Linked DNA regions of Nothobranchius furzeri. The protein of the gene in region 2 purifies or fractionates together with the protein of the main gene of each other region. This does not show direct contact. Links are inferred from orthologs where the notes say so. Each region holds a gene or a part of one and is shown on either strand. Other genes may lie near its edges.

Region 1 (3,754 bases), on a different chromosome or scaffold from region 2:
ACAATCTATCAATATCTAAACGTGTTGAATCAGCTTTTACCACGGGATTATAATAAGAAACACAAAGTAAAAGTAACTAACATTAAAAACATATGAAAGTGTGAGGGCCTTATTCTAGAAGTTTGAATATATCCAACAAAGAAGATAGTCTCTGGGCATCTTTCTTCTCCACATAATATAAACTTTTCTTGAACAGTTCCAAATCCTTTTTCCGTCCGCTTACATGAGGCTTAACCTTGAGGAATTTACATCTGTGTATAAAAGGTTTTCCCAGCTAAATCAAAACATTTACCAAGAAATCTTGATGTTTGTCTTTCAAAAACAACCCCACTTATAGCAACCAGTTTAACGGACTTACTGTGACATGCTTAGACAACAACCAAGTGTGAACAGAACACCAGAAATATTTGAAGAAGAAGAAAAGAAGAAGAAAATATCATTTCTATAGCGCCTCTCAAGATAAAAATCACGAGGCGCTTCACAAAAACAAAAACAAAAATATAAAAATTGTAAAAATATAAAAAAGCATTTCGAAAATGTTTAAAATATATTTAAAATGAGCAAGATGTTGCGATTTAAAAGAAAAAATGTTAAGAAAGAGAGAGAGTGAATAGGAAAGGGGGAAATCAGTGGATCCTGAGGAAGGTGGAATAGGTGGGGAGAGCAGAATAAAGAGAGAGAGGTGAAGAAGGTCATACAAAAGCCAGCTTGAACAAGTGAGTCTTCAGCTGCTTTTTAAAGGAGACCACTGAGTCCACTGATCTCAGGCTCAGGGGGAGAGAGGTCCAGAGTCTGGGGGCCACAGCAGCAGATGATCTGTCACCTTTGACCTTTAGCCTGGTGCTGCACAACCAGTAGGCTTTGATCACTGGACCTCAGGGACCTGCTGGGGGTGTAGGGACTAAGAAGATCACCAATGTAAGATGGTGTTTGTCCATGTAAGGCCCTATAGACCAGAACCAGGATCTTGACACACTCACATTAAATTAAAAAAAATATGTTCTACATTTTCAATATTATTTTCACAAAAACCACATGAATTATTCATCCAGTTAAATCTAACATGTAGAAAGTTATTTGGATAATATCATTTAAAATTTTGAATGTTACTCGACGCAAAACTTTGTTGAGTATAATTCCGTTTCGTATTAGAACATTTACAGGTATGTATAAATGTGGATAAATAGGTCAAGAAAAACGTGTTTAAATCAATTATTGTTTTAAAAAATGTAAGATAGCACAAAAAGAGCGTAAGCATAAGTGAAAAGTTATTCGGATATTCGTTAAAATTGTAATAAATAGGACATCCGCTCATTAAAAGTGGGTCCTAATAAGCACCGCCCCCCTGCTCATATCCGGTGTGACACATCCGGTGAAACACCGGGGCGCTAATCGTAGTGTGTGTTCAGGTGTGACCAGAAAAGGTGAGTTTTTCCTTCATTTAACTTAGTTTGAAACAAGTTTATTTATCAGTAACGCGACATGGGAGCAGATGAATGTGTTTTTTATGTAAAAGCGATGCTTGTTTGACTAGAACTTCGTCAGAAAGGGATCTGTTAGCCACCGAGCTAGCTGATGCTAACATGTTTTCAAACTGAAAAATCTTAAATTAAAAACTTAATTTTCATCAGCCTGATCCCACGCTGTTAAAAACCGGTGTTTTTATTTTTAGACATTCATATACATTTATTAACATTCGCGTATAGTTGAGTTTAGGATAATTTTGGTATTTAAACAAGAGATTTTGAGTTCAAAAAGTTGAAGTAAAATCTAATTGTACTTCGAAATCCCCCAGATTACCGAAATTTGATACCAGCCCGTCCCATTGATCAACTGTTATTATTGTTATTATTATTATTATGGGTTCTCCTGTTTTCAGACACTTATCATGGACATCCGGCCAAATCACACGATTTACATCAATAACATCAATGACAAGGTGAAGAAGGAAGGTGAGTTGAGCTGATTTTACATTAATTTACATTTATGGAGCACCTCTCTAGACACGAGTATTAAAGTTTTGCACAGAGAACATCACAATATAAACATACCAAGCAAAAACAACAATTTTAAGGCTTAAATCCTTTTAAAAAGATACGTTTGTAAAAGAATAAAAGTTCAAGTCAGTCAACATGTTGCTGCTTAAACACCAAGTTAACTGATAAACTGTGTTTTTCTTTTTTCAGCTTCATTTTAATTTTTAAATGAAATCATACAGGCTGAACTGGAAAATAGTCTTCTGTTTCCTAAGTTAGCTGCCAACAGATCAGAGACGGGGAAACGTTGGGATTCCAAAGCCCAGACAGACCCAGGTCACACTGAAAATTAACATTCATGGATTCACCCATCTTGGCACATCTCTTGTCTCCTTCCTCCCGTAGAGCTGAAGCGTTCTCTCTACGCGCTCTTCTCCCAGTTTGGTCAGATCGTTGATATCGTAGCCATGAAGACGGAGAAGATGAGGGGTCAGGCCTTCGTCATTTTCAAAGAGCTCACCGCTGCCACCAACGCCTTGAGGCAACTACAGGGCTTCCCCTTCTATAACAAACCCATGGTACGCAGACTGTCATCTTTTCCAGTTTTTGATCTGCTCTGTAGTCAGACTGTAAAATAACAACCTCCCAGTTAACCACACACACACACATGATACACATAGCACATGCATCCAATGCACCATACTAGTTGTTAGTTGTGTGCAATATTATTTGAGTGTTTCTGGTTTAGCGTGAATTTTTTTCCCATTACTGGTGAAGCGTGCCGTGTTGGTGCGGTTTAATGTCTTTATTGTACTTTAGTGTTCTGTAAACTCGCTGCTCCTACCTTTTGACTGTCCTCTTTCTGTCGTGACAAAAGCAAAATTCCCACATGAGAACATTAACAGTTTGCCTAACCTAACCCACCGGCAGCTTGGCTTTGTCTCAGGAGCAGAGGGGGTTGTGGGCCCTCTCAGAGCTGCAGGTCTGACTCGGGTCTTGTGTTTTCTCAGAGGATCCAGTACGCTAAGACCGACTCGGAGGTCATCTCCAAGATGAAGGGCACGTTTAGTGACAAGGAGAAAAAGAAGGAGAAGAAGAAGAAGGCTCAGGAGCAGGCGGCAAATGCCGCTAAGAAACCATCGGCGGTGAGTGTTGCTTCTGCTTCGTGTGACTTCTCTGACCCAGACCCGACTCTTCTGGGTTGAGGTTATTTTAAAGGTTCTGGCCCTGTTGGTCCAAACCCTGCTGACCAGCATCAGAACACCAAAATGTTGTGTAAAGGTTTATGATTCACTTGTGTTCCTTTGCAGGTTTCAGTTGTGCCTGTCCAGACGCCTGCTGCTCAGGTGAGAAAACCCACATCTTTACAATACCTGTGAGCTTTCAAACCTTTTATTTATTTATTTATTTTCTTCTCAGGTTCCAGACAATCCCCCGAACCACATCCTGTTCCTCACCAACCTTCCAGAAGAGACCAATGAGATGATGCTCTCCATGCTCTTTAACCAGTGAGTCCAACATGACCTCCTCCATCCAGAACCTCAGCCACCTGAAACCAGCTGAGTCGTTTTAGTTCCAAAAGTCAGAATTCTTTTGTTTCTGCGACTCGCAGCAGAATCAGAACCTGAATCGAACCAGCAGAGTGGGGAGGGCGCTCAGGATTTGTCATGGGGGTGAGCTAGAGGAGATCTGTATGAGAAACAACAATGACGGTGATGGTTTTTGTCAGACTGAACCCAGAAACGGCTCTGGGCAGCGTGGCGGAGAACTATGGAGCA
Region 2 (3,754 bases):
GAATCCCAAGGCGTTCCCTTGCCATTCGTGTGACATAGTCCCTCCAACATGTCCTGGGTCTTCTTTAGGTCTCCTCCAGGTTGGACATGCTCAGAAAACCTCACCATGGAGGCATCTAGGAGGCATCCTAATCAGATGCCTGAGCCACCTCAACTGGCTCCTCTACACCGAGCCCCTCCGGATGACTGAACTTCTCACCCTATCTCTAAGTGAGAGCCCAGAAACCCTGCAGAGAAAACTAATTTTGGCTTCTTGTATCTGCAATCTCGTTCTTTTGGTCACTACCCAAAGCTCATGACTAAAGGTGAGGGTAGGAACATAGATCGGCCGGTAAATCGAGAGCTTCGCCTTCTGGCTCAGCTCTCTCTTCACTACGACAGATCGGTACAACGTCCGCATTACTGCAGACACGATCTCATCCCACCTGTAAATCTCACTCGCCATCTTTCCCTCACTCGTGAACAAGACCCTGAGATGTATAAACTCCTCCACTTGGGGCAGGATCTCATCCCTGGACCCAGAGAAGGCATTCTACCCTTTTCTGACTCAGGACCATAGTCTCGGATTTAGAGGAGCTGATGCTCATCCCAGCTGCTTCACATTCGTTTGTGAACTGCTCCAGTGAGAGACGGAGATCACGTTCTGATGAAGCCATCAGGACCATGTCATCTGCAAAAAGCAGAGACCCCATCCTTAGGCCACCAAAATGAATGCCTTCAACACTTTGGCTGTGCCTCGAAATTCTCCATAAAAGTTATGAATAGAATTGGTGACAAAGGGCAGCCTTGGCAGAGTCAACCTCTCACCGGAAACGAACCCGGCCTACTGCTGGCAATGCGGACCAAGCACTGACACCAGTCATATAGGGACCTTACAGCCCCTATCAGAGGGCCTGGTACCCCATACTCCCAAAGTACCCCCACAGGGTCCCCCGAGAGATGCGGTCCAACACCTTGTCTAAATCTACAATTAGTTTAAATCCAGACCCTAAAAGTGAAAGCAACAAAATCAATAAAAGTTGGGAAACAAAACCATAGCAAAAGAAATAATACAAACAATTGATCCAAAATTAAAGAGAACATATTAAATAAATAAACAAAAATGCAAATGTTTCATATCGTTTTTTTAATTTATTTTTCACATTTTAAATGTAGCCCTTTACTCCTAAATAAACTAATCTCTTAGGTCTTTATTATATGCTTTTATCCGCAAACGTTTGTTCGTCGGTCAGTTTTACTCCTGACCACTAGATGGCAATGAATGTTTGAAACTATTTATGAACTGCTTAAGCTGAGAACCAACACGCATGCGCAAAACAATTCTGTCCATCACAGTTTGTCGTTAGATTTGTTTGGGAGAACGTAAGTTTATTTATAATATTTAGCTAGTATTTTGTTGTGCAGTTCGCTGAGCAGTAACGCTAAAACATTGATTAGGCTATATTTAATTTCATTCTGATAGTTTGTTCATTTTGGTAGGTTTAAAACTATCCTTGCATATATGGTAGCACTGTTAGCATTGTCAGAACGACGTCCATCGATGCTAAATGCTAACAGTAAAATGTGCGCGAAAGGATAGTTCAATATAGGGATTTTCTAGTTATGTTATTAAAAATTAAGACGTTTCAACCTAGAATCATGACAAATTGATAAATTGATGAAAGGGGTGTCGGGAAGAAAGTCTTTATGATTTGAGTTATAGATTTAACACATACACGCATACATACATATACAGTCCTGACTAATGTTCACTATTAATACTACATTTAAGGAACTGTGCCGCTCAGATATTCATTCTGGCTGCTGTAACACATAGCGTTACCATTTTATCAGCAATTATATGAAAGTTGTTGAATTTATATTTATGATAGTGTTACTACGTGCATACTGCTTTGTACAGTACTTATAGTTGTGAATGTTTTCTACATTTGAAATAGCATATGTTTCTCAGTTTTATAGGGATGGTAAAAATAAAACACCAGGGGTTCAGTTTTAACTGAACTGGCTTTTTCTGTTTTTTGTTTTGTGTTTATTTGAAGAAATACACGATACATTATGTTTGGTCTGTCCCTTTGATGCTATATGTTTATGTTGTCTTTAGACTGAGTTCATCACTTCAAAAAAATGGATTTCCAGCATCGAGCTGGAGGGAAGACTGGAAGTGGAGGGGTGGCGTCTGCCTCTGAGAGTAACCGGGACAGGCGTGAACGGTTACGTCAGCTGGCTCTAGAGACCATCGACATCAACAAGGACCCCTATTTTATGAAGAATCATTTAGGTTCTTATGAATGCAAACTTTGTTTGACACTTCACAACAATGAGGTGAGGAGGCACTTAACGGATTGGATTGGGCTATGTTAGAATTTTTGATATTTGGGAATTGTGTTTCTAAAGAAAACCCTCTACTTGATTTTAGGGCAGCTACTTGGCTCACACACAGGGAAAGAAGCATCAGACCAATTTGTAAGTCAACCTAAAACATTCTCTAACACAATTAATTGCTACTAGTTCAATATTTGTCAGTAAACATTTTCCTGTATAATTTTTTCTTTCTGAGTTAAATCTTTTCTATTTGGTGTTTTAGAGCACGAAGAGCAGCCAAAGAGGCAAAAGAAGCGCCGGCTCAACCAGCTCCAGCAAAGGTTAAAGTTGAGGTCAAGAAGTTTGTCAAAATCGGTCGACCAGGATACAAAGGTACACTGGCTGCATGGTTCTATATTAGATCAACATTATTTGGCTTTTTGTAACAACTTTTGATCCTCGTCTTTCTCTTTTTTTCACAGTGACAAAACAGAGGGACCCAGAGACTGGTCAGCAGTCTTTACTTTTTCAGGTGAAAATAAAAAATATATTTTAATTCTGGAAAAATCCTGCTGTGTTTCTGGGAATCTGAGACACTTGATAATAGGCTTTATGCTTTATTGTTCGTGTGAAACCAAAGTTAAATGCCATCATATGTTTAGCTCCACTTTAATTATTTTCCAGCCCAATATAACAGTTTTGCTCCCATTGTATGACCCCATTGTGGACACCACTTGAAGATGCGTTGCAGATACAAAACAAACTCCTATAGTTCCTATCAGGGCAATAATAACCAGATGTTACAACATCTGACAAGTTGTTTTTATTTCCCATATTAATCAGATCGACTATCCAGAGGTTGCTGAAGGAATTGGACCCAGGCACCGTTTCATGTCTGCTTATGAGCAGCGTATCGAGCCTCCTGACCGTCGCTGGCAGTACCTGCTGTTTGCTGCTGAACCATATGAAACTATTTCCTTTAAGGTGGATGAAAACTGTAATTTTTGTCATTGTGCTCATGTGTCACATTTCCGTAACATTAAAATGTTTGCTCCTTTAAGGTCCCCAGCAGGGAAATTGATAAAGCAGAAAACCGCTTCTGGACTCACTGGAACAGGGAAACTAAACAGGTACTGACTCTGCTTTGTTTTTACTAAAAAACTAATTTAAAAAATTTTCTAATGTATGAATGTTTTGTTTTCGTTCAGTTTTTCCTGCAGTTCCACTTTAAAATGGAGAAAGCCATTTCTGGTGGTCCAGCTCCTCCTGGCAACTTAAAGCACCCCGCTTCACTTATGAGTGGCCACCCATCAAACGACGGTCTTCCACCTCCACCACCAGGAGGGATGTCTGTTCCTCCTCTGCCACCCGGGGCACCAGGTCCCCCCCAAATGCCCCCACAAATGCCCATGCCCCCCATGCCAATGAGGCCACCTCCCCCAGAGGGCCTTATG

The links. Proteins that work in one complex are often made in the same cells at the same time.
Region 1: the proteins of sf3a2 (region 2) and snrpb2 purify together in Homo sapiens (affinity purification with mass spectrometry; 6 studies listed by BioGRID and IntAct, with this or other methods). This does not show direct contact. The link is inferred for Nothobranchius furzeri from reciprocal best matches to the Homo sapiens genes SF3A2 and SNRPB2.

What each region holds. Positions count from the first base shown.
Region 1 is NC_091746.1:29,740,368-29,744,121, reverse strand, and holds the start of snrpb2 (U2 small nuclear ribonucleoprotein B''), read left to right. Parts: upstream 1-1,323; 5' UTR 1,324-1,424; intron 1,425-1,879; 5' UTR 1,880-1,888; coding exon 1,889-1,952; intron 1,953-2,381; coding exon 2,382-2,554; intron 2,555-2,986; coding exon 2,987-3,121; intron 3,122-3,286; coding exon 3,287-3,322; intron 3,323-3,395; coding exon 3,396-3,484; intron 3,485-3,754. UniProt on the Homo sapiens protein: Involved in pre-mRNA splicing as component of the spliceosome. Associated with sn-RNP U2, where it contributes to the binding of stem loop IV of U2 snRNA.
Region 2 is NC_091751.1:56,891,779-56,895,532, forward strand, and holds the start of sf3a2 (splicing factor 3A subunit 2), read left to right. Parts: upstream 1-1,272; 5' UTR 1,273-1,361; intron 1,362-2,100; 5' UTR 2,101-2,123; coding exon 2,124-2,321; intron 2,322-2,415; coding exon 2,416-2,462; intron 2,463-2,583; coding exon 2,584-2,693; intron 2,694-2,782; coding exon 2,783-2,832; intron 2,833-3,143; coding exon 3,144-3,284; intron 3,285-3,361; coding exon 3,362-3,430; intron 3,431-3,508; coding exon 3,509-3,754. UniProt on the Homo sapiens protein: Component of the 17S U2 SnRNP complex of the spliceosome, a large ribonucleoprotein complex that removes introns from transcribed pre-mRNAs.